Linked DNA regions of Daphnia pulex. The protein of the gene in region 1 purifies or fractionates together with the protein of each later gene. This does not show direct contact. Links are inferred from orthologs where the notes say so. Each region holds a gene or a part of one and is shown on either strand. Other genes may lie near its edges. The genes, in order: valine--tRNA ligase-like, elongation factor 1-beta-like, elongation factor 1-gamma-like and elongation factor 1-delta-like.

Evidence for each region.
Region 2: the proteins of valine--tRNA ligase-like (region 1) and elongation factor 1-beta-like fractionate together in Homo sapiens (co-fractionation; 3 studies listed by BioGRID, with this or other methods). This does not show direct contact. The link is inferred for Daphnia pulex from reciprocal best matches to the Homo sapiens genes VARS1 and EEF1B2.
Region 3: the proteins of valine--tRNA ligase-like (region 1) and elongation factor 1-gamma-like purify together in Homo sapiens (affinity purification with mass spectrometry; 6 studies listed by BioGRID and IntAct, counting the BioPlex papers as one, with this or other methods). This does not show direct contact. The link is inferred for Daphnia pulex from reciprocal best matches to the Homo sapiens genes VARS1 and EEF1G.
Region 4: the proteins of valine--tRNA ligase-like (region 1) and elongation factor 1-delta-like purify together in Homo sapiens (affinity purification with mass spectrometry; 5 studies listed by BioGRID and IntAct, counting the BioPlex papers as one, with this or other methods). This does not show direct contact. The link is inferred for Daphnia pulex from reciprocal best matches to the Homo sapiens genes VARS1 and EEF1D.

The regions. Positions count from the first base shown.
Region 1 is NC_060025.1:7,155,852-7,162,795, forward strand, and holds the end of valine--tRNA ligase-like, read left to right. Parts: coding exon 1-390; intron 391-455; coding exon 456-1,111; intron 1,112-1,172; coding exon 1,173-1,901; intron 1,902-2,045; coding exon 2,046-2,195; intron 2,196-2,265; coding exon 2,266-2,431; intron 2,432-2,495; coding exon 2,496-2,689; intron 2,690-2,749; coding exon 2,750-3,115; 3' UTR 3,116-3,193; downstream 3,194-6,944. Other genes in the region: short-chain dehydrogenase/reductase family 16C member 6-like, read right to left, coding at 4,411-4,507, 4,590-4,706, 4,772-4,824, 4,884-4,913, 4,991-5,152, 5,218-5,328, 5,390-5,514, 5,597-5,816. UniProt on the Homo sapiens protein: Catalyzes the attachment of valine to tRNA(Val).
Region 2 is NC_060021.1:6,592,069-6,599,815, forward strand, and holds elongation factor 1-beta-like, read right to left. Parts: upstream 3,811-7,747; 5' UTR 3,689-3,810; coding exon 3,609-3,688; intron 3,492-3,608; coding exon 3,272-3,491; intron 3,214-3,271; coding exon 3,024-3,213; intron 2,964-3,023; coding exon 2,809-2,963; 3' UTR 2,690-2,808; downstream 1-2,689. Other genes in the region: DNA-directed RNA polymerase III subunit RPC1-like, read left to right, coding at 1-246, 319-448, 503-621, 691-841, 901-1,085, 1,151-1,319, 1,383-1,592; heat shock protein 60A-like, read right to left, coding at 4,661-5,182, 5,241-5,586, 5,647-6,005, 6,064-6,399, 6,468-6,635; 10 kDa heat shock protein, mitochondrial-like, read left to right, coding at 7,483-7,485, 7,544-7,705. UniProt on the Homo sapiens protein: Catalytic subunit of the guanine nucleotide exchange factor (GEF) (eEF1B subcomplex) of the eukaryotic elongation factor 1 complex (eEF1).
Region 3 is NC_060020.1:8,826,094-8,834,812, reverse strand, and holds elongation factor 1-gamma-like, read right to left. Parts: upstream 4,668-8,719; 5' UTR 4,385-4,667; coding exon 4,373-4,384; intron 4,265-4,372; coding exon 4,115-4,264; intron 4,049-4,114; coding exon 3,985-4,048; intron 3,922-3,984; coding exon 3,779-3,921; intron 3,702-3,778; coding exon 3,404-3,701; exon of another isoform or gene 3,349-3,403; coding exon 2,989-3,348; exon of another isoform or gene 2,915-2,988; coding exon 2,790-2,914; exon of another isoform or gene 2,763-2,789; intron 2,691-2,762; exon of another isoform or gene 2,627-2,690; coding exon 2,471-2,626; 3' UTR 2,405-2,470; downstream 1-2,404. Other genes in the region: uncharacterized protein LOC124193185, read left to right, coding at 5,085-5,181, 5,257-5,473, 5,693-6,000, 6,061-6,327, 6,489-6,527, 6,605-6,921, 7,278-7,358; intraflagellar transport protein 46 homolog, read left to right, coding at 8,102-8,200. UniProt on the Homo sapiens protein: Probably plays a role in anchoring the complex to other cellular components.
Region 4 is NC_060024.1:3,939,986-3,947,968, forward strand, and holds elongation factor 1-delta-like, read left to right. Parts: upstream 1-3,419; 5' UTR 3,420-3,561; intron 3,562-3,629; 5' UTR 3,630-3,636; coding exon 3,637-3,741; intron 3,742-3,800; coding exon 3,801-3,881; intron 3,882-3,938; coding exon 3,939-4,287; intron 4,288-4,353; coding exon 4,354-4,479; intron 4,480-4,543; coding exon 4,544-4,698; 3' UTR 4,699-4,785; downstream 4,786-7,983. Other genes in the region: signal transducing adapter molecule 1-like, read right to left, coding at 4,974-5,416, 5,498-5,803, 5,865-6,047, 6,118-6,181, 6,243-6,491, 6,556-6,716, 6,843-6,885.

The DNA.
Region 1 (6,944 bases):
TTGAAGCTTTTGTCACGATGCATCAAGACGGCACGATTTATCGATCCACCCGTTTAGTCAACTGGTCTTGCACGCTCAAATCCGCTATATCCGACATTGAGGTCGACAAGGTTGAGCTTCCAGGTCGCACACAGCTTTCGGTCCCCGGCTACAAGGAAAAGATCGAATTTGGCGTCATTGTTTCCTTCGCCTACAAAATCGATGGGTCCGATGAAGAAATTGTTGTTGCCACCACTCGTGTGGAAACCATGTTGGGCGATACGGGTATTGCTGTACATCCGCAAGATCCGCGCTATACCCATCTGGTGGGTAAATATGCCCTGCATCCCTTCTGCCAACGTAAGCTACTCATTGTAGCTGACGACTATGTCGACAAGGATTTCGGAACAGGTAATTTTATTACAAGCCTCGCCTCGACTGAGTTTACAGGAAATTAATACTTTGCATATTTCTAGGTGCTGTCAAGATTACACCTGCTCATGATCCTAACGATTACGACCTGGGTAAGAGACATAATCTTGCCATGATTACGATCTTCAGCGATGATGGGCAGATCATTGGAGATTGCGGCCAATTCACCGGTATGAAGCGTTTCGACGCACGCAAAGCCGTCCTTGAGGCGTTGGAGCAAGTTGGACAGTACCGCGGTACGGCAGATAATCCTATGGTGGTTCCTGTCTGCTCTCGTTCCAAGGACATTGTGGAACCCATGATCAAGCCTCAGTGGTATGTCAAATGCGACCAAATGGCAGCTGATGCAGCTGAAGCTGTCCGATCTGGGAAGCTCAAAGTCGTGCCGGAGATGCACCAGAAAACGTGGTTCAGCTGGATGGACAACATCCGAGACTGGTGTATTTCTCGACAGCTTTGGTGGGGTCACCGTATCCCAGCCTACTTCGTCACCATAGACGAGCCATCCGCCAAAGTAGGAGACGAAGCTGACAATGAGTTCTGGGTGTCTGGGCGTACAGAAGCCGAAGCCAGAACTAACGCTGCTAAGCGGTTCAACGTTCCCGAAGAAAAAATCATTCTCAAACAGGATCAAGATGTTCTTGATACTTGGTTTTCATCTGCTCTTTTCCCATTCTCCGTGTTTGGTTGGCCTGACAAGGTTCGTTTGTTTTCTAGTAATATGACACAGAACAACTCAATAATTTCTTTTCTAATTTCAGACGGATGAACTGGACGTGTTTTTCCCAACTACTTTGTTAGAAACAGGCCATGATATTCTCTTCTTTTGGGTTGCAAGAATGGTGTTTTTTGGACAGAAGCTGATGGGAAAACTTCCCTTCTCTGAAGTGTATCTTCACGCCATGGTCCGCGACGCCCATGGTCGCAAAATGTCAAAATCATTGGGCAACGTCATCGATCCTCTTGATGTCATTTACGGAATCAGCCTCGAAGGACTCATGGCTCAGTTGGATGGCAGCAATCTCGATCCAGCTGAAGTTGGAAGAGCCAAAGAGGGTCAGAAGCAAGACTACCCACAAGGCATACCCGAATGTGGAACGGATGCTCTGCGCTTCGCTTTGTGCCAGTACACTGCACAGGGCAGAGATATCAACTTGGATGTCAAACGTGTTCAAGGATACCGATTTTTCTGCAACAAGCTTTGGAACGCCACCCGATTTGCTTTGACCTATCTTCAGGGTTCCGAAATTCAGACACTAAACGAGGCAAGTAATCGTCCAATGATTTCCCGTCCGTCCATCACTCCGGCTTTTCTTGCCGGTCTGAATGCTCGGCTCGAACACGTTTCCTATTTCAGCGGTTGTCAGTACTCTGCTGAAGACGATCTAGTCTGGCGGCAACTGGATGCCGGGCTGGGACAAAGGAAGATCCCGTCAAGTTATCCTCACTTGGAGAGATGGTTCCAACATATCGGCCGCTTGAGGAAGCAGGCAAGAGATGATACCTTGCACGTTGCAACCTCTATCTTGCATCTTATTTTAGTTGACCCACACCCCATCCGCTCCTGGCACGAGCATGCATTGATTGACTTAGTTTTACATGTCAGTTATTTATTAAAATTGTTTTTCTTATAGGTTCAACTAAGTTTGATGGATAAATGGATCTTGAGCTGCCTGTCCACTGCCGTTTCGGCCTGTAATGCGGGATTTCAACAATACGATTTCCCCCGTGCCACCAGCGCAATTTACAACTTTTTCCTTTATGAATTGTGCGACGTTTACCTGGTGAGATATTCTTCAGTTGTGTATTACCAAACCGAATTGTTTAACTGATATATATTCATTTGTTTTACAGGAAGCTGTCAAACCTGTTTTCCAAGGTTCAGACGAGTCTGCAAAGTCTGCGGCTCGTTCGGTTCTCGTCACTTGTATCGACACCGGACTCAAGTTAATCTCGCCGTTTATGCCGTTCATTTCGGAAGAGCTGTGGCAGCGACTACCCCGCCCTGAATCCGTGCAGAGTAAGTTATTTAAAAATGTTGTTTTTAAACAATTCACATGATTATCTGTTACTCTATTCAATAGAAACTCTCCCGCCGAGTATTTGTATCGCTCCTTACCCGACTGACGCCGAGTTTCAAGTCTGGAAAGATGAAGAATTGGAAGAAAACGTGAAATTGGTTAGCCGAATCGTGTCCAGCGTTCGGTCTGTCCGAGCCAGCTACATGCTACCAAACAAGACGAAAACTAAGTTGGTTTTAAGATGTTCGGATCAAGAGGTAATTTAGTTCAACCATTGGTTATATGCTCTACTTAACCATTTGATTGGATTCTGACAGGTGGTTGACATGCTTACTCATTTCACGGGCAATATTTCCACGTTGTCCTTCTGTCAACCCGTTTCCGTCTCGACAGACGGAGGTAACACACGTGGCTGTGCTATTGTAACCGTTTCAGACAAGTGTGACGCCATCGTTCATTTGGAGGGTCTGATTGACGTGCAAAAAGAAAAGACACGCATCACTGGCCTAGTGGAGAAGAAACGCCAACAATTGGACAAGCTCCAAGAAGGCATGGTAGTTCCAAACTATACAGAAAAAGTCCCTCTCACTGTTCAGGAGACCAACAAGGAGAAAGAGGTTGAACTTGAAACCGAGTTGCAGCAACTTGACGCCGCCTTCGCAACTCTTTCCACTATGGATTAAATTTGGATAATTTGGGATTTGGGGGCCGTTGTTGCAATCAATGTGTAGGGAATCAATACACATTTGAAGCACTTCTAACGTCTTTTTTAGATTTTTATTCCTATAAAGCAATTGGGTTTTGTTTACTAAGCAATAATTACAGGATCATTGTTTGAAACCATCTGTGACTCTTTTTAGTTCTTATTAGTATCTTGACTCGATTTTAGTTGCTGAATCAAAATAGTAAGGTGAAGACGCAGCGTGGGCAATGCCAACAAGAATTAGGATATTATTACAATATCGTTTGTGATCAAAGGAGAAATAGAGAGTCAAAGGGGGCGGGCTCAAAGTATATTCACAGGCTCGCGCGCTCACTCACATTTTTTAAATTTAGAGTTCCATCATCTTCAGTAATTGGGCCTTTTTATTCTTACTAATCCAGCCGCATCTTTCCATGTGACACTTAACGAAATCCAACAAAGAAAAAGTAGACAAACACACACACGGCCACACGGGGCGCGAGTCATTCGACGGTGAAACCCTTTCCAATAAGGAGACCACAGAGAAATAATAATTAACAAGTAAACAAGGGCAGAATATACGCACACAATCCATTCGCATAGGTTTTGTTTTTTCCTTCCTAGGAAAATAATAGAGCATTGTTTCTTAAATTTTTTTTTGTTTTTGTAAATCCTGGACATTTTGTATAAAAAACGGAGAAGCCAGAAGAGATTGAAAAAAGGGTTTTTTGCAATCCGGGAATCAAGTTGAGGTAGTCATCCGATTCCAGGGTAAATTTGGGGTAAATTTAGTGATTTTCTTGATCGATGAATTTTCTTGAAATGTTTGGTCGGTGGGATGTAATTCTAATCTCTCTCTCTCAATTTTCTAGCAACTTCGAATGTGTACTGAACAGTCCACGCCGCAATTCATGAACGGATATTTCCGACATTCTAATACAGAATTGAAGAGATTATACAAATACTCAAAACGACCTAAGTTCGTTTTACCAAATGTGTGGAATGAAATCTCTCAGAGGCATCCAATTTATACTAAAAGAATAAACAAGTTTAATCTTATGTTTTTATGCATAACTTGTGATTCTCGGTGAACGTCGTAATAAATTCAATTACAGCAGGGCAACATTATGTTAGGACAAGAAAGTCATAGAAGTACGCAGATAATTATAGTAACGGTGTATTTGCATTTTTATTAAAGGAAAAAAATTAAGGAAATACGATTAACGGTACAAAAGAAAAGATCTTTCCACATAATATCCGTATAACCGTTATCACTAATTTCGTGCAATTTAATTTTCAGTTGTGTTTTGGTTTGGCAACTTCAAAATTGTTCATCATTTCACCCAGTCCCAAAGCGCGGTGAGAAGCAATTTGAGCTTTCACCGGTAAAAATCTGTGACAAAAATAGGATAAAATCATTGCAATGAATTTTCTGGAGAAGAACCACAAATCGAATTAGCGTTTATCAGATTTACCTTTTTAAAATCATTAAACAAGAGATATAGCGCGGAACGACGCACATTTCTTCGTCTGTTAAAATGGAATTGATAGCTGCTTGCGCTACGTCCTCCGGTTCCAAAGCGGGTAAAAACCTTGATTTGAAAAAATTGTTCTTTTTATTCATGTGCATTGAATGCGTGATTTTAATGCTCAGTACTTTGATTTGGCTCCCGCGAAAAGTGGAGTATTGACGAGATACGGACATACAACCTATAAATTCAATTCACCGTGAAAACATTTTCGATATCCAACAAGAAAAAAGGTTATACCGTCGTTTTGATTCCTTTCCGTCCATCAATCTATGAGACATAAATTTTTGGAAAAATAAGTATACAGTGCAACATTAAAATGAAAAATGATGAACCAAAAAGCTTACAGCCAGTTCCGTCCGGAGCGATTCGTCGAAACCGACAGCTGCGAATTTGGAAGAACAGTAATCCACCAATCGGTCACTTCCGGTTAGACCAGCTAAACTGGCGACGGTAACAATATGACCCATATCTTGCATGATCATATCAGGTAGGAAACTTTTGACAGTCTGAATAAAAAATGTCAAAAATAAGTCACGAAAAGTATTTGCATCCACAATAATAAATAACTAACCCAAAAATGAGCTAGAACGTTAACGTCAAAAGTCCGCTGAATCTGTTCGTCCGAGCAATCGAGAAGAACTTTACCCGAAACTACACCAGCGTTATTCACCAAAATAGAAACCTTATCAAAAATAATTATTAAAATAAAATCTGTAACGTTTCTGTAATTTCTGCAATGTTACCTTTCCGACTTCTCGTTTTACCCGCTGGGCCATTTGGTAAACCTCTTCACGTTTACTCAAGTCAACTTGATAGGCAAAAGCTTGTCCTTTCGACATGTGAATCAATCGAACGGTCTCCTCATTCGCTATGAAATTGTAAGTAACAAGAATGAAAAATTAAAATCCACTTTAGTGACGATTACGTTATAGTTATGCAAATCACATTACCTTGCTTGGCTACATCCCAGCACACAACTTTACATCCCTCGTTCGATAGACCAATGGCCAACAGTCGACCAATTCCGCCACCGGCCCCGGTGACAAGGGCAATTTGTCCAGAAATGTCTTTCGAACGATACTTGATGGGAATCCAAGGCACTACAACTGCTTTAATGATGTAGTAAAATATCATAACCACGTTATAAGCTACATCCGTAAAGGCGCCCATTGTAGGATATTCGGAACTGTCGTTGCTCACTAGACAAGGCTCGCCAAGACAGTGTATACAACAAGATTTTTCTGCTCCACTGAAATTCTACCCGTAGATATCCTTTTGAACTCCATGCATCACTGTTTGTTGAACTTTGGCTGAAATTATCTCGAGCATTATCGAATGCTATAAGATGTCCTTGAGTCCGAGCACATGAATAAAATACAGCTGCGCATGTGCAATCCTTACAATACGAAACCCATCGAAACACAACTCCCTTCTTCAAAAATATGAAGCCCAACATATTTCCCTGATGCCCCATGGTTAGCGTCTTATGAAATCTTATCGATTTTTTTATAAACTCCTTCCTCCATCAAGGGATTTCCGAACGAGCACTAATTCCCTGCTTCCTAGTCTGTAGTTTTTGGATTAAATAGGAAACTCCTTGTTAGAAATAGTTGACAAATGGGACACTAAAAAGTACGGTCCAATAACGTCCAATAATCATGTGTACAGGCAAATAATGCTGCTCTGAAGTCGCGCTATAACTTTTGATCTGTAATCGATTGACTTGTTGGAGAACTGCTGGTATGGATTGGGGAAAAAGGAAGAAGAAAATACGATCAATATAGTTCAAAAGAATAGATCTTTCTACAAAATATCCGTAACGTTTTTTACATCACTAATGAATTGCATAAACGTATTTTCAGTTGTGTTTTGGTTTGGCCACTTCAAAAGTGTTCATCACTTCCCCCAATCTCAGTGCGCGGTGAGCAACGAGCTGGGCATTCACTGGAAACATTCTGCATAAAAAAATTGGATCAAATAAATTATTACCGTAATGAATCTAAGGTCTTCGAAAAAAAAAGTATCTTTCATCAGATTTACTTTCTTAACGTCGTTAAAAATGAGGCATAGCGCGGAACGACGCACACTTCTTCGTCTGTTAAAATGGAATTGATAACTGCTTGCGCAACGTCTTCCGGTTCCAAAGCGGGTACAACCCTTGATAAAAAAATTATTTCCATTTTTTATTTGTATTAAATTTACATAGATGATTTTAATACTCAGTACTTTGATTTGGCACCCGCAAAAAGTGGAGTGTTGACGAGGTAAGGACATACGACCTATAAAATAAAATTCTTC
Region 2 (7,747 bases), on another chromosome or scaffold:
GCTTTTCAAAATGGAAGGTCGATCTTTACTTACAGTAGAAAAACACCTGGAGCGCATAACTGTTGGTCAGTTAGTGGAATTCTGCGACTTTTCTAAGGAAAAGTATGAACGGGCTAAAATTGAGCCAGGTACCGCCGTTGGAGCACTTTGCGCCCAGAGTATTGGAGAACCGGGTACTCAAATGACGCTCAAGACATTTCATTTTGCTGGTGTTGCTTCCATGAACATCACACAGGGAGTTCCTAGGTATTTTCCAATTCAGTGCCATTTTTGGAATTCATTTAATGACACTAGTTTCGTTTGATGGAATTATTTCAGGATTAAGGAAATTATTAATGCTTCAAAAGCAATCAGTACGCCAGTCATTTCTACTCAGCTTTTAAAAGATGATGACCCTGAGTATGCTCGACGAGTAAAAGGAAGGATAGAAAAGACCACACTGGGAGAAGTAAAAATGGAACATCTTAGGGTTTTAACTTCTTTAACAATTTTATTTTTATAGGTAACAGAATATTTCGAGGAAGTCTACTTACCCGATGATTGTTTCATGTTGATCAAATTGGACATGAATAGGATCCGATTGCTTAAATTAGAAGTGGACGCAAATTCGATTCAGTGGAGGCAATTTAATAATCTTTTCATTTTATTTAAATTTCTTAATTAATTTAATTGTTAATGTTCCAATTTCAGCCTCTGCACATGTAAGCTGAAAATAAAGCCTAGTTTCATTAAAGTCATAAGTGAAACCATCGTTATCGTCAAACCTGCTCCATCTTCGAAATCTTCGATGTATCACGTTATGCAACATCTCAAGGAAACGTTACCCAGAGTCGTCATCAAGGTGCGTGGTCGAGATTCGTATTTACAATTGTAAGGCATAAATATTTTCCATTACTTCAGGGTTTGCCAACTGTCAGTCGAGCTGTCATCAATATTGACGACACAAGAAAACCACCAAGATATTACCTACTTGTTGAAGGTGACAACATGCGGGAAGTGATGGCGACCTACGGTGTTAAAGGGACCTCAACTACATCAAACAATATTCTGGAAGTCTACAGTACCTTGGGAATTGAAGCTGCAAAGTAATTTAAATTGTTTCTTTATTTGTTAGATAAAAACTTATTTATTTATTGTTTAATTAATACAGGGCGACTATTGCCAAGGAAATTCAATACACAATGGAAAGCCACGGCATGAGTGTCGATCGCCGGCACGTTGCTCTTCTTTCAGATTTGATGAGTTGCCGTGGTGAAATTTTGGGCATCACGAGACATGGATTGGCAAAAATGAAAGAGTCGGTTCTGATGTTAGCTTCGGTAAGAAAAACACAAATAAATACAATATATTTTATCATTCCAATATTACTATTTGATTGCTAGTTCGAAAGGACCTCGGATCATCTATTTGATGCATCATACTACGGGCAGGAAGATGAGATTACGGGAGTAAGCGAATGCATCATCATGGGAATACCAATGTCAATCGGGACTGGGGCTTTTAAATTGCTGTACAAAACCGGAAAATCGGTTCCACCTAAAACAAGACCACTTATTTTTGATTTACCAGAATACCATGTACCAATGCTTTAAATGCGAGTCATGAGAGTGTACGAATGCGATCCAAGGGAGCAAGTCAAAAACAAGTTTGCATATTTTATCTTTCAAAATTGAAATTGTTGTGGTGACATGCGGATTACGCAGATATTTCAAACGGTATTCTCAGTTAAAATACACTGAACTTTTAAATTGCAGTTATTTTTTATCTAGTGTCTGTAGAATCTTAATTTTAATATTGGCAGCAGTATGTCAACATAATTTGATCAACAAATTTTGAGTTATTGGTCAGTAGCTTCAAAACACATCCAAAATTTGTAATAAGGTGGTACATGCTAAACCTAAGCACAAAGCTGCTGGTTAACTGGTATGCAGTTCACTCCTTGAAGCAAAAAGATTTTTTTTTAGTAATTGCTAATTTGCTAGTATAAACTACTAATAAATAATACTAACAGAAAGTTTGAGAATCCTCATGCTAAAATCAAATTCAAACATAAAAACTTTAAAGTCCTGATTTTTTAAAATGACTATTAATGCCACATGTGAGTTGTCAGTCACTAAATTTAAAAAATAATCCAAATAATCACAACCAATTGTGGCACCTTTACCTTTCTTTAGTCGTAATTTTAGCATACTAATCACTACAATTTTGTGTCTCAGTCATAAATTTAAAAATAATCCTTGGCCAATAAACATAGCCTACAAGAAACAAGAGTTACATAAACTTCCCTACCTTCTCTCAAAACTCCCTTTTCTTATGATGAAACATTTCAGGCACAACTTATCTAACAGATGAACTCACTAAATTTTCATGTAGTACGTTAGTACGACACTGAAGAACTAAACACATTTTTGGTCGAGACTACATCACGAAGCATGTAAACACAACACTGTTGCCAAGTTTCTGTAACTTAACTTCTCTTTTTAAAACAGCTGAGCTGATGAACACGTCTTAAACTCTTTATCAGGGATATGGAGAGAATTTCTCTCCATACCCCTGACTTAATTAAAAGGTTTAAAGCTAACTAAGAATTCTTCTTTCGTGTAATCGACATTCCCTTTAACCACATGAACTAGGCTTGAGCATTACGGAATCTATTCATAATATGATGGCAAATGAAGTGTACTATGAGTAACAACCCAGCATGTTTATTTCAATCAGCCAGTAATTGTGGAGCCAGGCACTTTGCACGATTAGCATTCAAAATATCTGATAACACGAGCCGGCTCAGCTCCGACACAATGATTTTATTTAAATTTTATTGAAAGCGGCAATATCGACTGATTGGACCAAATCTTCGAAGTTCTGAATTTCCTCTGTAAGCCAGTCAACAGAAACTTTGTCATCTTCAATGACGCATCCGATTTGGAGCTTCTTGATACCATATGCCAATGGTACAAATTTACCTGAATAAACAATACAGTTTTAATTGGCTGTAAAAAATGTGTTTCATTGAAAATACTTACACTGTCCCCAAATAAGACCATCACATGTGATGGTTTTTACAGCTTTCTCCATGGCTTCCATGTCTGTCTCATCATCCCAGGGTTTAACATCTAGGACAATTGAGGACTTGGGAATAAGCGCAGGTTTCTTGGATTTCTTTTCACTGTAGGCTTTAATTCTTTCTGCCTTGATCTTCTCAGCAGCCTCATCCTACAGCGGAAATTTCTGTTAATACTCATTAACTGAGGGATTTGCCTATGGTTAGTACCTCTTCGTCATCAGATCCAAACAAGTCAACATCATCATCATCATCATCGGCTGGTTTGCTGGCTGGGGCTGCAGCAGCAGATTTGGCACCTGGGAATTTGCTGGTTTCAGACCCAAATGATTTAATGTGGTTGTACCAGCGGAGAGCATGTGGGAAGCTGCTGGCAGGGGCCTTTCCTAAAGCTTGGAAGGTGGTCACGTCCGCCTGAGACGGTTCATATCTATACACAAGAATATAACATCGACATATTTTTAGATATAACGAAACGGAAAGCATGCTCAAGAAACAGTTCTATTGTACCCGGCAACACATACTTAAAATAAAGTGAAAAACTTACCCTTCAATGTAACTTCTATCGGCTAGGAATTCGTTAAGGGCCTTAACACCATTTTCAGTTTTAAGATCGCCGAAAGCCATGATTATTTTATCAGGTCTGAAAGGAAGAAACCGACTGAGGGTAGAAATTGACACGCGATTCGGCAATGGCAGACACCAAAGAGAGACGGTTACGTGTTGCCAGATAGCTAAATATTTTAGTTCGTTTGTCCACCGTCGTCCTAAATCCCCCAGGCAGTAAAAGGGAAGGGAAATGCGAATTTTTACGGGAAAATTCAAGGACACGTTAAAGTTTAATGCACTTTTAAAGCTATAACAATTAATTTTTAATTCAGAAATTTCATTACTGATTTGGAATGAAATCATATTTTCTATGAGCAATGTGCATTTTCAATTCGTTGTGCTTGCGCAAAACTTAATGACTGCATCAATTTTAATCTGAATTCTTAAGGTCATTTTATGATACCCTTTAGGAAGGGCTTGTTTTATTTTAATTGAAAAACGACCATTTGTTAGTAAAGTCCTTGTCCTGAGATTGGTTATTTTATCCAACTACACTAGAAATATTTTATGTAATTTGTTTCAAAATTTAACCGAATAAACGTCAGTTGTTAACTTTTACGTTCATTGCAATTTATTTAGCAATTTTTTATCGATGAATTCCAGATGATTCAACCCAAACTATACCCTTTACCTTCCTTCTCTTTCAAAAACATAGAAGGTTTTACAAAAAACTGTTCATGTATTTTTTTTTTTTTTTTTAGAAAGTAAGACTTTATAATGATTTACTACGAAAAAAAAACGACAGTAGTGTCTCCTATCACGAGTGATTCATACGTGTCCAATACTACGCTGTAGAGCTGATAATTGTGCCTTCCAGATCGATGAATGACTCAAGATTGAACAGCAGTAACATGATTACATAAACTGGGATGTCAAACAAGAGGAATGAAAATCTCCAAAATTACCGCTATACAACTTGACAACACCACTACAATCAAGAAGGTAAGTAACATGAAAGGTTGGAACAGAAATTGACTTGGATTTGGGACGTTACATCATTCCGCCCATACCTCCCATACCACCCATGCCTCCCATTCCGCCCATTCCTCCCATGCCGCCATCGGCCTTCTCTTCTTTGGGGATTTCACAAACAACACATTCTGCTGTTGTGAGGAGGGATGCAACTCCAGCGGCATCAGTAAGAGATGTTCGGACAACTTTAGTAGGGTCAATAATACCGCGTTCAATCATGTTGACGTACTCATTTCGGAGGGCATCATAACCAATGGAAGCTTCAGAGTCCATAACTTTAGAGACGACGACGGAAGCATCAACTCCAGCGTTTTTAGCAATAGTCATGCAAGGCATCCTCAAAGCGCGACGAATAATGTCGATGCCAACTTTTTGATCTTCATTTGCATAGGACAGCTTGTCCAAAATAGGAATACAGCGAAGTAGAGCAGTTCCGCCACCAGGAACGATACCCTCCTCAACGGCAGCTCGGGTGGCGCAGAGTGCATCGTTAACACGATCCTTTTTCTCGTTCACTTCAACTTCGCTTGATCCACCAATCTAAAGAATTAAAACATTAGAAAATGACCCGTGGAGCTTTATTGAGAGAATATTATACCTTAAGGACAGCAACTCCAGAGGCGAGTTTGGCTAACCTTTCCTGCAGCTTCTCCTTTTCGTATTCTGATGTTGTTTCGGCAATTTGATCCTTGATTTGGGTAACACGCTGGGCGATGTCTTCTTTGCGGCCTTTACCTCTCAACAACAGAGTGTCGTCTTTAGTAACAACCACTTCTCCAACCTGACCAAAGTCGTGCAGCTGAATATCTTCGAGCTTGACGAGATTTGCTTCATCACCAAAGACCAAGCCACCTGTAGCATTGGCCATATCGTGAAGCGTATTTTTGCGGTTGTCGCCAAATCCTGGGGCTTTAACTGCAACTACCTGGAGTCCAATCTTCAGTCTGAAAAACACTTTCGTTAATTTACAATTTCTTTAAAAAATGTAGGTAAGAAACTTTTACCTGTTAACAACAAGAGTGCTAAGAGCTTCGCCATCGATGTCTTCCGCAATAATGACTAGGGGTTTGCGGTGTTGATTGGCGAGTTCCAAAGCAGGAATGATGGATTGAATGGAAGAAATCTTCTTCTCACTCAACAAGACCAACGCATCTTGATATTCTACTTTAGCGCCCTTTGCTGTGTTAATAAAGTAGGGTGAAATGTAACCACGGTCGAATTTCATGCCTTCGATGACTTCAAGTTCATCAATCAAAGTTTTTCCATCTTTGACAGTAATGACTCCCTCTCGTCCAACTTTGTTCATTGCTTGAGAAATCAGTTTACCAACTGATTCATCACCATTAGCAGAAATGGTAGCAACCTGAACGAAAGGAATTCCAGTTAACATTAATTCAAAAATGAATTGTCTCATTAGTTACCTGAGCAATTTCTTCTGGAGTAGTAACCTGTTTGGACATGGCTCTCAAGTTTTCAATAACAGCATCAACAGCAAGCATGACACCACGACGAACTTCAACAGGATTGGCACCTTTTGTTATCTTTTCAAATCCTTCCTTAGCAATGGAGCGAGCCAAGACTGTTGCAGCAGTTGTTCCGTCACCAGCAGATTCATTTGTATTATTTGCTACGTCTTGAACTAACTTGGCCCCAATGTTTTGGAATTTGTCTTTCAATTCGATACCCTTTGCTACAGTAACACCATCCTTAGTGATTTTAGGTGAGCCCCATGATTGTTCTAGAATAACATTACGTCCCTGTAAATAGAAGCAACAAATTGTAAGTGGTAGTCCGAATTGAAGTGCAAATCTAATTTTGAAATTACCTTGGGACCCATGGTTACAGCAACTGCATCAGCAAGAACATCTACTCCCTGCAACATTAAGGCTCGTACATCAGCTCCAAATCGAACATCTTTAGCATAATTTCTGTATGCTTGAGGAGCGATCTGGCGAAGAGCTGCTGTTCTCAGAAGACTTGGTAGGCGATACATCTCTAAAGTAATAAAAAAAGTTACAGATCTGTTAGATAATGGATAACACGCTGCTAACGCTATGTACTGGTAACTTTTAACAGAAAAAAAGACTTAAATAATCCATATTTTAAGCCGGTAACACTGAGGAACTGACTATTGACATCTACTAATTTTAACAGATGATAATTAACGTCCAAAACTTACTTTTTAGGTGAATTAAACTTTAATGTAGCTGAGTAGTTCCCACGTGCAACGCTTGCCGACGATAGTAAGACTGAATGTGAAACAGAAGACGAGCGTGCGCTTAGCCTAAATAAAAATGTGCTTGCGGAAACTTCGAGATCACCGATTCACCACCATATGATCACCCATTTAAAGTGCATGTTGCAATAAAAAATTAAAATAATATTTAGTTTGAAAAAAATGTATTTTTTAATGGAAGAAATAATCTATTTATGTGAACACAACATTAAATGAAGGTCGGTTAACCGCATTTATTCGTGAAAATAGAATGTGCCGCCGATGCGCATAGAAAAACCAGAGAAAAACCAGTTCCTTTGTTCTAGAACAATCTAATAAAAGTAAAAAAATATGCATCAATGCTAGTTTCAAGTACTTGCTGGTATAAGGAAAAAAATTTATCATAGTTGAATTGACTTTTAAAAAATTCAAAAGCAATTAAAACACAACCCATGAAGCAGTTTTGATATATCGAACATTGTTGGAACATTCTAGAACCACGTGGCTTATGTAAGCTTCCAGCAGACGCTCATTTTCTTTACTTCACGTTAACTTCGCCAGAGCTAGTCTTGCCGGTTGACGAGAAACACGTAGTTTTTACACTCACCCATCAACAAAAATTACAATGGTAAACAGTTTTTCAGTTGCCTGTTTTTATAGTTAATTTATCAATATTGTTTCTTTAGGCAGGCGCACTGAAACGATTTATCCCAATGTTCGATCGTGTTTTGATCGAAAGGGCCGAGGCCTTGACTAAAACACGAGGTGGAATTGTTATTCCCGAGAAGGCTCAACAAAAAGTTCTGAAAGGCACAGTCGTTGCAGTTGGACCAGGATCTCGAACAGATGTACGGTAAATTTTGATAACAACCATTGTTAAATTGTCTAAT
Region 3 (8,719 bases), on another chromosome or scaffold:
CCTAGGGCCTAAGGCCTAAGGCTATTGCAATGCGGTTATTCGTTTTTACCTGCAAAGGAAATTCCAGACAGCCTGTCTGGTTTCGTTCATGATTTTTTTTTGGGGGGAAAGGCATGACCAGTGGCTAAATGAGCCTATTACTCCTTTTTCCTTCTTCCCACCTTTCGCTTTGTTCCTAGCCCCCCACAATTAGGACCAAAAAGCCTAACATAGTTCCCGCATGACTGATAGGTGGCTTTTAGGTTGTTCGGATTTTTTTGGACCATACTGTACCGCAGCTGTGCGACACAGCACCATTTGAAATGAATGAAATGGAAGACTGACGGGAAACTAGGGCAAAGTAGGGTTTGTTTGTCAGTTCTACTGACAGGTGGAGCAGCTGGGCAACATGTTACGGATGTGGTCGGACGACTAGTATACGGACGACTTGGCCCGCCTGACACATTTTACTTCACAAAAATGTCCAAAAAAGACGCATTCCATGGCCTCGCTCAAGGATACCGGAAAAACCAATTTATTCCCATAAAAGACTAGACCATCCACCTCTATCAAATCCGTGCTGGTGTGTCGAACATTTCTGTATAGTCGAGGGTAATTAATTTTTAACCTCGAACAAAATTCAACATGAAATTTTTTAAATGAGCTTTATTATTGTAGTGTTTAAGATGTTACATCCAAAACCCTCCGTGAAAATATTAAATATTTCTGTTAAAAAAACATTTTATATTAAATTTTTTTTATTTTCGAAAAAATATGGTACTTCTAATTATAAAAAAATTGTTTAAAAAATTTCCTCGTGTTCACGTCTTTTACTTTATAAGTTATCAAATTTTCATCAACAATTCAACATCACGTGTAAAATAGATTATTTATGAAATTAATAGTGACAGACGGTCAAATTTTTTTCAGCCGCGCGGCAGCCGTGGTTTACATGGTGCCTTATGGCTAAGCGGCCGTGACAAAATTAAGTTTTTCCATTAAACTATAATACTTAAAAATTAGAGGCTTTTGCCATTAAATAAACAAGATAATGCCCGATTAATTTTAAAAATGCCAATTTAAAGCAATGTATAGCTTTCTAATTATTGATTGGCAAAAAAAGTCCTTTTTGGACTTCCGATTTCTCAAGGGTGATTTTGGTGATGTTGGTGAGCGTCGTCTACAAATTTATCAGAAATTAAGCTCCGCCCCTAAAAAATGGCTGAGGGCCCGTTTTGAAATGGGAGGCGCTTATTTGAACTTTGAATTAGAAATACACATAGATAGGTTCATTTTAAAAATATTTAAAAAATACCATGAGAATCAGCGTAAAAAACTGATTCTAACCAAGTATGTTTTAAACAAATTTAAATTTCATGCAAAGAGCCAAAGACCCTATTTTGCTCTTTTTCCCCCTTTTTCGTGCTGCCTATATCCCCTCTTTTGCCCTTAGGGCCCAAAGGCGAAAGACGAAAAGGGTGAAAAGAGGGGAAAAATAATAATAATACACCATGTTCAATTGATTTCTAAAATAAATAGCACTAGCAGCTCTGGCACTAGTATAATTATAGGGGATCATAGAGTTGGTTAACGTCCGAAGTTGCCAGTTCGTTGGACGTTGACGATTGGACGGTTGACGTCCAAAATCCAAAAATTGGACGTCAACCGTAACCGTCCAATCGATCATTCGTCCAAGTCGAATTGGCAACTTCGGACGTTAGCCAATTCTATTTGGCGTTCCGTATTTTACAGGCGTTTTCAGGCTGATCTGTATGATAGGTTTTTCTTTTAAGTGTCACAAATTACCCTTCACGGTGGGAATTTTGTTATATCATGCAGTTAAGAATGCTGAATCGTATGAATAATTTTATAGATAAAAAGGAAATTAAAAAATATTATGGTAAAAACGTTAGGGTTTGTCAACATGATCACAGCTCGTCTTAATGACCAAGCGAACCAATAAACACTTTGTAGCTGGGCTTAGAGCTTGGATCACTTGAGTATAAAATAGTTAGCCAAATTGTTGGTGTAATCGAGCACTAGAGGCACTACTGTTGATTATTCCTATTTCGCCTGTGAAATCGATCCATCAGCTTGGAAAGTCGGAGAACCTGGTGCTCTGTTGTATGTTAATCCGCCTTTTTTTGTAAAAAGCTTTTGTGCACCATTTTCTCGTTCATAACAAATTCTAAATTTTGTTTGATAATTGGTATACCAAACCACGCAAATTATTGTTCAAAACGCTTTGAGATGTATAAATACTGCTTTGAAGTTATTAACATGAGCGTGACTTGCAACTCATCAAAGGGGAGTGTAATAAAATGGTCTGTGACCCCAATGGAGAATCAAAGAGGGGATTAAGCAATATATTCTTAAATCAGCAAGCTAAAACAATTTAATGTAAGTCTGAATGAACTCCAACATATCAAGTAGCTCATCAGTTGTATTGATAATGGTTGTGATACAACACTCCACGAGTATAGATACCAAACTACTTGAAAATCTTTCCCTGGTTGAAAGGACGACCATTTTTATCAGTGCCGGACCAGGCAAAATACTCCGCCACCATCTTCTTGGTTTCATCTGAATCAGGGTTCAATTTCTTCCAGTCGTATGTCTCGTAGTCAATCTGCCAATCAGGACACAACTAAACAAAAAATATTGTTAAAACTTAGATCCATTACTTCAAGCAAAGCTAAGCTTAAAAACAGGTAAGTCTTATTACTTTCCCTCTACTTGTTACACAAAATATCGAAAACAAAAAATATTTGTGTCTTTGAAAGAGGTAACATCATTGTAAACCATCTTACCTGGAAAGCTAAATCTTGCCCACGCCACACCCAAATTCCTGAAATGGTACAATCATTGTCTGTTCCAAATAAGCACATGGATGCAAAGCATTGTTTCCTCATTTTATCCAAACGTTGATACATGCCTATTAAAAAATGTGAATATTATGGGATTTCTTCTTTGAAAACAAAAAAAAAAAAAAAAAATTGTGGAATATACCAGAGATTAAATTGCAAGACATGAAGACTTTGGTAAGTTCATCAGAGTATTTGTACTCTCCAAACCAGATAGAATAATTTTCCTTGTCGAATTTGTCCCAGAAATAAGGGATGGATTTTGACTCTTCATTGTTAGAATAAAATCTTTTGAAATCATCCATGTTGAATGTTCCTTTGGGCATTTCATCAAATGGATCCTTGGACTTGGGTTCCTCTAATAGGGCTGCATCAGCTGCATCCATTTCCTCAGCCTCTTCTGGCTCTTCCTTCTTTGGCTTTGGTTTCTCTTCTTTTTTCTCTTTCTTCTTTTCATCCTTGACAGATTTCTTTTCTTCCTTTTTCAGAGATCCAGTTATTTTACCTGTTGACACATTGGATAAAAATGGCAATGAATTAAATGTTTAGAATTTTCTTACTCTGAAATTCAGCAAACTTCTTGGGATCAACTGGACACTCTTTCTGGCATATCTTAAAGTCTCCAATGATGGCTTTGAATTGTGGTTGGTTAACACAAGTAATAAACCATCTATTCAAATTTTGATAAGGCTTCCTGTTAGTTTCATCACAAATGCTCTCATAAAGGTGGAGAAGATTGCTAGAAAGAACAATATCTGCAAGAGTTATTTTCTCTCCAACCAAAAAGGTGCGTGTAAGAAGGTGGTTGTTGACGACAGACAAAATAGCCTTCAATTCTTCTTTAGCATGTTCAACAGCCTATACAAACAATACACCAATTAACATTGTACATATAAAATTAGCTTTGCACAAATAAACTAAAATAAGAAACATACTTGTTTGTTGTACTGAATGATTCCAAGGACAGGGAAAACAATAGTACAGGACAGTGGAAGAATTTCACTGTCGGCAAATGACATCCACTGAAGGACTTGGGCCTTTTCCACGTCACTGTTTCCTCGAAGCTGCTGGTTGGCAACTGTTCAATAACACTCATTACATCTCAATTCCAGAGGAATACTATTTTAGTAGTAATATTTACCGAAATATGCAATTGCATTGCTCTCAGCAATGCACTGCCCATCTTGGGATTCAAAAGCTGGAACCTATCAATACAATCACATAGACTTAAAACTTTCCACCATGAAAATGAACCGCATAAAGAAAATTACCTTTCCCAACGGAAATTTCTTCAAAAAAGTTTCACTCTTGTTGGTCTCGCCGAAGACGAAGTTGGAAGCGACATTTATTTTGAAACCAGAGTATTGAGCAGCAATCAAAGCCTTATTGGCCCTGAAGTTGCTTGGGTAAGTGTACAAAGTCTAAAATTAAAAAAACCCGATTAATTAGATATTGGACAACAGAATCACGCTTTAAAACACAAGAAGATGTCACGGAATTTCTTAGATTCAAACACAGATCGTACTTACTCCAGAAGCCATGATGATCAAATGCAGGGACGAGAACCTGACGTGGAACCAAGAAGAAGTCTGCTGCAAGAGAGAACGAGCTCAAACGTGAGAATAGTTGAAAATTTCTACATGGCAACGCTGTTAAGCGCGCAGCCCTTTGTTGGTCTGCCTTGCGGGCCACTCTTGCAGAGTTGCAGTTAGGATGTGGAAAGTGGAATGTGGAATGTGGAAGTGGAATGTGGAGGTGGAAAGTGGATACTTAAAACGGAATAGAGCTAGAACTTTAAAATGCAAACACTAGAATGCGACACTAGAATCGCCGCTAGACCGACCTGGAACCGACGGAACAGAACTATGGTTTTTTTACGTTTACTCATGCTCTTCTTGTCTTCTAGAGATCAAAGGCTACCTGACTTCTATAGGCTGCCGGTCGTGCCACGACATCTTTGGGGAGAAACTGAGAATCCATGAAAGCATCAACTGTCTTAGCAGCACTTAGCAGGAAGGTGTACTTCGGTAGTTCGGTCTCGGTGGTACTTCGGTACTTCGGTAGTCGGTACTTCATGGACTTAGCACGAAGACAAGAAGTGTATCAAGCTCAAACTGTGTTAAAAAGAACAGTTTTACGCGAGTCAAGAAAGGACTTCAAACCAAACAATTCAAATATTTTCAAATAATTAACTCAGTGCATTCATCTGAAGTCGGAGCGTTAGTGTAGAAAGTAAACAAAATGCCCGCCATTGTTTTAGAAAAGCCGAAACTCAGCAGACCTATGTGGAATTCATTAAAATCACACATAATCAGAGAGAGACAAAGGAAAAAGCAAGGTTGTTATGATGAAGCTCCACAATAATTGTGTTAATGTTTCAATTGTGCTCTGTAACTCATTTACTCTTAAACAGAACAAGAAGCTGATGCTGAGGTCGAGCGACAGCGAAGAGAAAGAGAAGATCAGCAAAAAGAACAAGAGATGACTTTAGAAGAAACTAAGGAACAAGTTGCTCAGTCAGAATCCAGGCTTTCTCAACTGAAAGAGGATAAGCATCAATTATTTCTGCAACTCAAAAAAGTTCTAAATGAGGATGATACGAGAAGAAAAATCAAAGAATCCAGTTTCAAGTATGCTATCTATTTTTTCTTTTAAAATTCATTCTTAGCATAGAATAAGAAGACAATATTCATGCTGAAATATCCTAGGAAGTGTGTAAATAGTAAATGGACACTAAAAGTTTAATTTGGTAAAATTTTCCCTACCAGTGTTCATATCAAGAGTGATCAATATCCTATGAAATTTTTGTCCATATGAATTAGATTAGAAACTCAAATATTTTTCATTAGCAGTGATATGATGCTGTTTCATCCCTATCCATCTGGAGCTCCATTAGTGCATCCAAACACCCATGGTTCTGTGTACATGCATCCTAATCTTGGGGCTTCAAGGCCAGTATTTAATGGAGGGAAGGAAGAAAGCATTTTGAATTTGCAAGGAGTGCCTCCTTCATCACTTTATGGACAAGCAATCAATATGGTTCCTTCTCTTGGACATCAAAGTCAAACAAATCAGAAGAGACCTCGTAGTCCATCCCCACCACCACCACAGCTGTATCATTCTTACAAGCCACCAGCCCTTTCCCCATACAATTCAAGTATAAATCATTCTTGGTGAGCACTATACTGATTTATTTATTGTTTACTTTCTTTTCTAGAGAGTATAGGTAGTCCCTATGGAGGGAGCCCTGCAGTTCCAGGCAGCATCTTTTACACTCACTCAGTTTCTGTAAGTGCTGCCCATAGCGCAGCCAGTGCTGGTTACCAACTTCCTCCAGGATCCATGTACAGCTATCCCAACCACTCGGGTTCTTCTCGCCCAACATATTCTGTTCAGACTCCCGCATCATCGAAAGATGATGGTAAGCACCATGCAACTGTTTATGTAGGACAAGGAAATGTGCTATCTCAGAATGCTCAAAGAAGTAAGTTTTTATGGATCAATTCTAATTTTTTTATTTTAATGCAAATTACGCTATTCAAGTAATTCATGCGATAACAAGAAGAAGAAGAAAAATTAATGTTGATAATTTCTGGAATTATAACTTAAGAGATTACTGAAAATTTTTATTGTACTTATTTGTAGGCATCCCAACAAGAAATTCTGGCCCATCTTTGAATCAAGGTTTAAAATAATTATTTTTTTTTTTTCTTTTCAAATATTTAAATTTCTGTTTGTTATTTTTTTAAATGCAATTCAAGGATATCACCAGCCAATTGAACATATGATAAACAAAAATTCTAATGCTTACGGAACTACCGAACAAGAGAAGATTTTCATTTCTCCTTCTCTTGGTTCTAGTCCAAATGTATCCACGAATGTCAATTCTGTTTCGGCAGGAGGGTTGCGGCCTCATACTGGGTTGTTAACTCCAATTTCGTTACCTGGTGCCTCACATCCTTCTGGAATTCCTATTCAGCAGCAAAACCATGCATCGAAGAGCGGTAGCATCATAACAGGAAACCCGTTACGACCTCCGACCTCAGCTGGCTATCACTCTGCTATACCTGCTTCCAATGTAAGTGAAAATAAATTCCCCGTCTGTTCGCCATGTGTTTAAATGATCGAGTCTGTTTCCAGCTTAATAATGACCAAATCGAATCGATTGATCTTGATTTATGTCATTTACAATGAGCCAGTCAATAAAATTGATTTGCATTATATATAATGATCAGTGTGTCGGGGATTGTATTCTAAATTTTAATTTATTTGATGTACGAAAGCTGAGATCAAACATTTGATTTCGATTGGTATTACAGGCAGCTGGGTTGTCAATTTAGAACTGTTTCGAATTACCTCTCCAACAACATTTAATATATAAGTAATTTTTACTCGTTTATTCATGGAGAGTACTCATTCCATTTATATTTTCAGGCGCAAAATAATCGTCTAGTGAATACACAGAGTGGAGGCCAAACCTGTCATCCTACCCGTTATTACGGAAATTCGAGTTGAGAAGGAAATTTCTGCAACAAAACCTGCACTAAACAACTAACAATCGACCGTATGATTATTGTTTACTCCATGTAATGTTGCTTTTCTTCGGTTTATTACATTCCTTTATAACTTCAATATTATTTTCGTGAGTCTCTCGGGTTTGATTCTTACAATTGGCTAGAGTCTGTACTAAAAGTAATCAAGTTGTCAAGTCCCAATAATAATAATTACGTTGCGTAAATTTTATTAAGTGAAGATTTTAAATCAAATAAAAATAAAGGATAATTAGTGTTGCAATCTTTACCTTCTAGGTTAACTGTAGTAGGAATAATAATAGGAGGCAACGAATTATCATTTACTAAAAATATAAAAATAAAAACATCAACATCGCTATAATTTCCAAATAAAACAAAAATGTCAGTAGTGAAGTTTCAAGGATCTGTTGATCCCGAAAACTGCATAACTTCTAAAACATCTTTTGGAACAATTACGAATCCTCTAGGAGGAAATATCGATGCATTTTAGATTTGAAATAAAATATGAAGGTGCAATCTTTAACGCATCACGTTAAACTGAGCGTCCAACAAAACCAAAACGATCTCCATGTCGCCAAGCGGGTGTGTTACCAACTGAAAACCCAGTTTTATTGTTTTATGTAACTTTCCAAACGTTGTCATGGTGATCTAAGCATAACAAGCCGGGCCCCTAAAAAGCTAATATTATTTTGATTTCATTTATTGTTCAAGTTCACCCATAACACGATGTCTGAAGTGGAATTGCTTAAAGACGGGACAAATGCCGAAGAAGAACAAGCCCTAGAAATGGAAGAATGGAGTGATGATGAACATCAATCACAAACGGTAAAATATTCGCTATCTTTCTTCAAACGTTAATCTACCTATTTAACTATAACCGCGGCCGTGTGTTTTATATTTATTTAAACTTGATGTTTGCGTTTTCGTTTCTGGATAAACAATTTCAAATACGTTTAAGCTTATGTTTAAATAAGTTTATGTTTAACTGCTATTATGCGCTTCTTTTTTGTTTTGCTTTTAACTTCGCTTGCAACGCTAGGCGGCTAAGCTCATACAGAAATATTTTATTTTATCTTTTAATTTAAACGCTGAATTTGTAAATGTTTTATTCGTGGCTGTTTAGTGAATTTGGTATAGTCAAATAGCGTTTTCACTTTAAGTAGAACATTTTTTAATCGATAATTTTTTTCAAGGTCTTTATTCACAACATAATTTTAGAAGCGTATAGAGACTGACGCATACAAAACTGAATTACGCGTGGGAAACCGGCTAAATGAACCTTCCATCAAATTGGTCATAACTAAGCCGGCAATCAAATTAAGAACACATTTTTTTTATCAATTT
Region 4 (7,983 bases), on another chromosome or scaffold:
CGGAATACCGGAATTTGCGGCTCCTGAGACTGATAACGACGAATTAGTCAGTTTCCCGACCAACATCTCGTCCTTCGGTGTCATTACCTCCTTCTTCCTCTCGGGCATTTCGCCTTTCAGGGGAGAAACCAACCGAGGCACTCTCCAAGCCGTCCAAATCAACTTTCATCCGGAAGCCTTTAGCAACATCTCCAGCGAGGCCACTGATTTAGTGAAGAAATTGTTGGTCTTCAAAGCCGATGGCCGTTTCACTCTCAAGGAGGTACGTTGATAAACTGCATTAAAAAAGCCCCCCCCCCCTTAATCGTGGAGCCCCAAGAAATGAAGGTAATGAAGGTAAGTAAGAGTCGGAAATGCTCAGCCAGTACTACCTGTAGTAAGGGGACGACCCCTGACCCCGTTGCCACCCTCCTCTTGGGGGGAGGCGCGTGGTCCGGCTCATGTTGTGGATCAGCCAACCGTACCGGCTCGTGTTGCGGATCAGCCGCCTGACCCAGATCGTGTTGTGGATCAGCCTGTCCCAATGCCGCCTTTTTTGGATTCAGATGATTCTTCCAGAGATGGAGATGTCGTCGGTAATTAATTTCAACGGTTTTTTGCTGCTCAAGAAGCCAACTTTATTAATCGACGAGCTCGTATCATGGCGAGATTTCAACAAAACCGCCGTCTACTCCTAGATGTCGATTCCGAAGATGAAGATAATTTGGCGGATGGAGAAGCAGCGGATAGAAACCTGGAAGTTCCCATTCAACTATTTCCCGAAGTAAATCACGAGGGTCTCTGCCCAGTGTGTTGGCTCCAAGTGCCTAACACAGTTATCACACCTTGCAGACACATTTTCTGCTTTATGTGTGTGGAAACATTTGAGTTGTCTAGGGCAACTAGATGCCTAGTCTGCCGCTCACGTTTCAATGGACATAGACCCGTGCCAGAAAATGATCGGAATGCCACTAATGTCCTATTGCATTTGGGTAATCAACCCTAGTTGAACAATTTCCATATCTGCTTCGACCAACCTGATGATCTAGACTACTGAATTATTTATTGCGTTTGATTGGATTAGTCGTGTAAAATTGCCTACTCTCTCATAAGAGGGGTTTGCTAATAGCCTACTAAACAAATGTTTACCTATAGCCAAACAGTTATATTTTCCCACAGGCAGTGCTTCCACTTCTAAAAAACAGGCGCCTCTAGAAGTTGCCAGATCAGGGGGAAAAACCCTAAAAACAAAATGAAAAATCCCCAGAAATATCCCTAAACACATTTTTTACTTTTTACCCAAAAATTCTTTAAAATCCCTGTAAATCGAGTAAATCCCCTTAAATTTCTACAAAACCAATTTTCACGCTGAAAATTTTCTATAACGCATGAAATTCTCTGTAATATTCAATTTAAAGACAAGTGTTACAATACAGAAAATTAAACAGAAAGGTTACAGATTAAAGACATTATTTCAGTTCTTTTTCGTGATAAAAAGAAGAGAAATCGGAATGGTAAAATACAAAGCTATCACGAGGTCAAAGGTATAAGTCAGTTTTTTTTTAATTCGGCATAAACATTGATTGGTACATTTGCTTCGTTTTTTTTCACAGCAGCAATTATGTCCTTTTTGATCACAGCAGTGCTTGCTGTTGCCATGGCAGATAGCCTTCTCTGTCTAGAGTGCCTAGACTAGACTTTCAATTTACAATTGACTAGATTAAATATGACGCGAAAAATCTTCCTACCTTAACCCGTTCTGTAGTTATACACCTTCAAAGTACTCTATTTTGCATGGAGCTCTATATTGAGTGTTCCCAAACTTTGGTATCCATTTTAAACCTACCCTTCCCTTGATAGGAAAAATCTGAAAAAAAATTCAGCTTAATGCTATCCATAATGGCTACGACCAAAAAAAAATTCGTCGTAATCCGACGAAAATTTCATTTTTGGGAACACCGAGAAAAAACGCCTTTCCCCATAAGGTTCTCTCTCGCGCACTCGCGCGTTCCCAAACTTTAGGTAGGTAGGCTACTGTTGGTATACCTCTAAATATATTTACTTATGACAATTTTTATTTGTGGCAAATAAGATATTTGAATTTTTTTACTTATGAGCAGAAAAATATTTTTTAAACTTATAAACGGAGTTACTTATGGGGATCCGTCATTCTGTCATGATCCCTTTCGTACTATTCGGGTGTATTGGTGTCGTTGTGTAGCAGCAGCGTTTAATAAATTGGATTCTATTTGATTTCCGTCGTGCCGTATATTTATATAGCGGATTTTTTTTTCGTAATCAGTTATGTGTAACACGGGTCAAAGAAAATTAAATAAAAATTATATATTTGTTATATTTTTATATCCATTTTACATAATGCGTTTGACATGTTATTCCTTATTCGGCCGTTATTCGGTGTGCTATGGTATGATGGTAGGCCTATGTCCAGCAGCAACGCCTAATATAATGACTATATAATCCTATTATTTCTTATTTTTTGAAATCATTCTCAATTCCAAATTCATAATAGTATCGTTGGTTATATTCAAATTCAAAGTCTTATTTCGTAGCGATCCCGATAACAACGGCCGCGACGATAATGTTCAAAGAGTAAAGAGTGGAATCCTTTCTTCAGCGGGGTCCTGATCCGTTGCTGCTCGATTTTGGAGAAACCGCATTGGTTTGCCGTGATGACCTTGCCGCTGGTCCGGTTCAAGCGGCAGCCGAAAACCAGGTCGTGGAACGTGTAGGTGAACAAGTGTTGAAGGAAGCGAACCCAGCCGTACTCGAAGTCGCCGGATGTGCTCCCATTCCAGTAGATATATTTGCCACCCTATATGCAATAAACATTTAATTGTAATTTAATATCATTCATAGTATATACGCTGAATCATCGCATTAACTTTTAAATTATCTTTGTGAAATTTCAAATTTGCAATAAAAAAAAAGATATTTTGCTAATTTTTTTTTAAACCTTCGGTTACATTTTTCAGGACCCAATCGCGGCTAAAACCTTGGACGGAACACGGAACGTATGTTTGATGCGACCAAGGAAGGCCCCACATGCCACATGCAAAAATCAGGTTTCTTGAGTACCGTACGGAAGACAAGGAAGCCCCCGGAAATTATGGACTTCTAGATCAGACACTGGCGATTATGCTGGTACCGGTATCCATGCCGATTATCTATGCTGTAGCAGAGTAATCCAGGAAGACTCTGGCTGTAGCCGCTGTAGCTGTAGTCTGTACGTATACACCATGTTTCAGTTTGAGTAATAACAATTTTCGCGGGCAATTTTCGCTTTATATATCTGCACTGTATTGTATATTTTAATAATTTTTTTTTTTTTTAAATATTACTGATTAATTGAAATGTTGAACCCTGTTGTCAATCATTTTTTAAATTAGAAAAGCAGAAAGATACAAATACAACTCTCAATAAAAAATTACAGCTTGGCATCGTTGTTTTCCTGCCTCAACGTGGAGCTCATTCTGCTCACCTAACTGCTCACTGCTCACTGTTCTGCTCAGCTGTCACCCCTCTTGGTTACTGAACGTTCGATCTTGCTCCATTGTATAACAGGTGACTAGAAATCAAAGAAGAAAATGTTTCGTTTATTCATTTATATGCCTTATTTTCGTATATTTTAGATTAAAAATGGTGAACAGCGCTGTAAATGAAGCATTGTCTCGCGAAACAGTCTGGTATGAGAAGTTTCGTTATGAAGATGCGGAACGTCAGTTCCAAGAAATCTTGGCAAAGGTATGTTAATTTTACCTTTTAGTTGAATATTTCTTAAATGTTTGAATCATCAAATTCAGGGTTCAACAGGACCAGCATCCTGTTCAGTTGTTGCTGAAATAATGAAAGCCAGGGATCAGATTAAAAGCTCACTTGCTGCTGTAAGTTCAACTATTTTTAACATGGTAATAGAAAATTGAAATTGATTTCATGTACAGGTTGAGGATTTACCTTCCTCTGGTTCTGCCATTCCATCTAATGTGACCAGTCGACTCCAACAACTGGAGCAGGAAAATAAAGATTTGAAAAAAGTTACCGATGATCTCCGTTCATTGGTGCTGAGTTTGGAGTCCAGGGTCAAGAGTTTGGAAAGCTCGAAACCTGGAGCAGCAGTTCAAGCACCAAAACCTAGTGCTCCTCAACCAGCACCTCCAGCTAAAGCAGCAGCAAAACCTGATGATGATGACGATGATGATGTTGATCTGTTTGGATCTGATGAAGAAGATGAGGATGCTGAAAGAATCAAACAGGAACGTGTTGCAGCATATGCTGCTAAAAAATCTACAAGTAATAGAATTGTCCATTTCATAATAATTGTATCTTACTACATTTATTTTTCATATTCCCTAACAGAACCTGCTCTGATTGCCAAATCCAACATCATTTTGGATGTTAAACCGTGGGATGACGAAACCGATATGGCTGAAATGGAGCGTCGTGTGCGTGAAATTACGTCCGATGGCCTCCTTTGGGGCACTTGTAAGTCAAATTAGTCAGTTTCGACACTATCCTCTGCAATGTTTAACTTTTATTTAATTTGCAGCCAAGTTGGTTCCACTGGCATATGGAATCAAGAAACTCCAGATTTCCACAGTCGTCGAAGATGATAAAGTGTCTGTTGACTGGCTGACTGAAACTATCCAAGAAATTGAAGATTTAGTCCAGTCTGTTGATATTGCTGCCTTTAACAAGATTTAAATTGTTTCAAGCAACATCACTGAGAAATCTGCAATTACTATTGCGTAACTTGTGGAAATAAAAAATAACAGCTTTAAGGGCATCAAACGGAAAGTTCTGCGAAATTTATTGTTTTAACCAACGTAGAGTAACTAAATGAGGTTGTAGGTAAAGGATGATGAAATTGTAAGACATTTAACAACCGAAACGTTGGAAGAATTGAACTCTAAGGAGAAAGGGGGTTACAACAAGGAGAATGAAATTGTAACTGTACAATTGCGCAGCTAGAATACAAATTAGAAATTCTGAGGATGGCCAGAATATGGGTTAACAAAAGGTTGTTGGCCCATATTAACCACTCCATAAGGCATTGGATTGGGGACTTGATTAGGAGGAAATGTAGCAGAATGGCTAACAGGTGGAGCAAATGGAGCTAAAGAAGGACTCTGTGGAGGTGCTTGAGGTTGAGGAAAAGGGTACTTCATGTTCCCGGATACATTCATGCCTCCGACAGGCCCAATGGGTGCAACGTTTGCGCCAGGATATTGGTAGCCAGGGACAGACATTCCCATGTTCATATTTGGATGGGTTTGGGGAGGCGCCGGCATTTCTCGCATAAGACTTCGATACATGTCCAGTGATTCAATCAAATGACTACCCAACTTGGTTAAGTGGGCGTGACGACGATCAAGTTTCTCCAGTTCAGCATCAATTAATGGGCCCATAGCGCCACATTGATCTATGAAAACCAAATATTTAGATAAACATTTTCACAACATCAGAACTTTGGTTTATATTGAAACTATAGAAATAATTATACCTTCTAGCATTTTCAACTCTTCCGGATCGTTGCGTTCCCCTGTAGGATCTGCTTCGTGAAGAGCATGAAGCATTCGATCAATTTTAGCTTCATCGATTTCGACTTCTGCTTCACTGCTGGCCGTCTCTTCGAGAGTGGCCACTACAACTTGCTCGTTAAACTGGACTCGCTTAGACGTGTCTCTTGCCACCATCACTTCTGGTTCAGCTTCCAAATCAGTCGACACGAAATTAGCCGGGAAAAGACCTTCTCCTCTTTGATTGGACCCCTTCCACCAATTAGGGTCTGAATCATCGATTACGTGAACTAAAAAGATTATGTTTAATTAGTCAGCAATACGGTTAAGTAAAAATATATTCAAAATTACTGATCTCCCCAGCTTTGAATGTCAACTCGTTATCTTCAGCAGCCTCAAAATCATATAATGCACGCACTTTACGTCGCTCCCGTTCTTTCACAGGTGAAATTGGGGCTGATGTCGTCATCGATGGATACAAGGACGAAGAAACTTTTGTGGTCACTTCTGCCTCTTTCAGTGACAGTGCAATTGCTACATAAAATATAAAATAGGATCAAATTATTGTTTAAGGTTCAAATTATTGTGAATTAAATTGGAATACCCTTTGCAATATCCTCCTCTTCTCTGGCTGCCACATCTTTATTGTTTACAACTGTTTTCTTAACCTGATAATTAAATCAAATTATTAATATCTTATAAAACTAACTAACCATGTAGTGCACTCACTGGTTCAGTTGTCTCTGTAAAATCAACACCTTCCTGCCTCAAACGATTATATAAAGCAGGTATAAGACTGAGTTGAGAATCGGTTTTGAAATCACCCTCTGCCCACTTCTTTAAACACTGTTTTAATTGGGAAGCTACTTGGGGGTGTAATTTATTTTTGATAAGCTTGTACAACTCTTGTTCGGAATCTCTTGACGCTATCTCTAAATGGAATGGTTTATGGCAGTTGCTCACACAGGCATCCAAAAGCTAAAAATTATTGAAAAATTAATTACCACATATTGAGAAATATATTTAAAAAAAAAAGCTTTACTTTGACAGCCTGCTTGGCAACATGTGGATTTTGATGATACAATCGTTTGATAATGGCTCTCAAACAATCTTTAGGTCCAGTAGTTATCGCTTTTACTTTGTCACAGACATCAAGAATTGTTTCCCAATTCTCACTCATATTCTTTTCATCGGTTGCCTTTTCTATAAGGGGTAAAGAATCGTGAGTAAAATTTCGATGAGGATGAAGCAATGCAAGAATACCAAATGAGGTATTCATTCAATTGCTTGTCCTATTTCTCAAATAACGTAAGTAAACGATGGCCTTACCGACATCCAGATCAAATGGCGAACTACCAGAAAAGATACCCATGGTAAAAATGACACTGTATTACTCGTACTGTGGGATAAACAATGAATAAGTAAAATAGGAAAACACGGAAATCGACTGATGAGTAATAAAGCAGAGATAATAAACCAGCAGCGCAAATCAAGTTAAGACGGATCTGTCATCCGGAGTGTCTTGGCGTTGCAAAGTTCCACCGCCAGGTGACTCTTTCCTCGATTGTTTTTTTGTTAGAAGAAAAAGTGAGAATTTACAAATTTTGAATGCAGATGGCTTTGTAAAATTTTGACCCCATGGTCGGCTCTCCTTAGTCGACATAAAAAGTCCAAAAGTCAGTTCGTCGTGCTTATTTACTAAGAAGCAGTCCTCTTGCTTTATTATAAGCCTTACACACTTGTACGTTCGCGGTGTTGATTTATCGGAACGTCTATTATCTTGGGTGAGTACACAAATTATGTCCTCTTGGCCCTTATGTCGGCTGCGCGATAATCATATGATTCCGTGGCGATAACAGTCGTTAATTGAGTGTATTTATTTCATTGATGGGTCCGTGGTCATTGACCTAACGATCTCTCGTGTTGAAGATGTGTGCCCCTGTGACCCCTCGACTCAAATGAGCAATTTTACCAACACCAAACCAGAGAAAGAATTCCGACAAGTTTAGCGCAGTTTTGGTCTGTAGTATATGTTAATTTAAAAAAGACGAAAAATTACATTTGAACGAAACCAGAAGGGTGGTCGAGAACCCGCTGTGCTCCACCGCGAGCGCATGTCGTCCTTGAGATTGAAAACTTGAAGTCTCCTCCTCCCCTGCTGAAGAAGAAAACAACACAAGAACAGCAGGACGGATAATACATATACTCTCTCAAGGTCGAACTCATTTTCGCCCTCGGGCAACCGATCGTAGTTGGATTTCTTTTTGCGCGGGTTCAAATTCGTGAGCGCGCGTCAGTTTGAAAATACGTTCAAAACCATTTTTGGCAATTTTCTTGGTAAAGATTAGAATATCCAGGACAAATACGGTAAATCAGGGTTTAGCGACAAATGAATTGGCACAGGTCAATATTTTTCATCAGAAGCCACTTGGAAATTACCGTATTTTTAAAAAAAGGTCATCGACCCTTG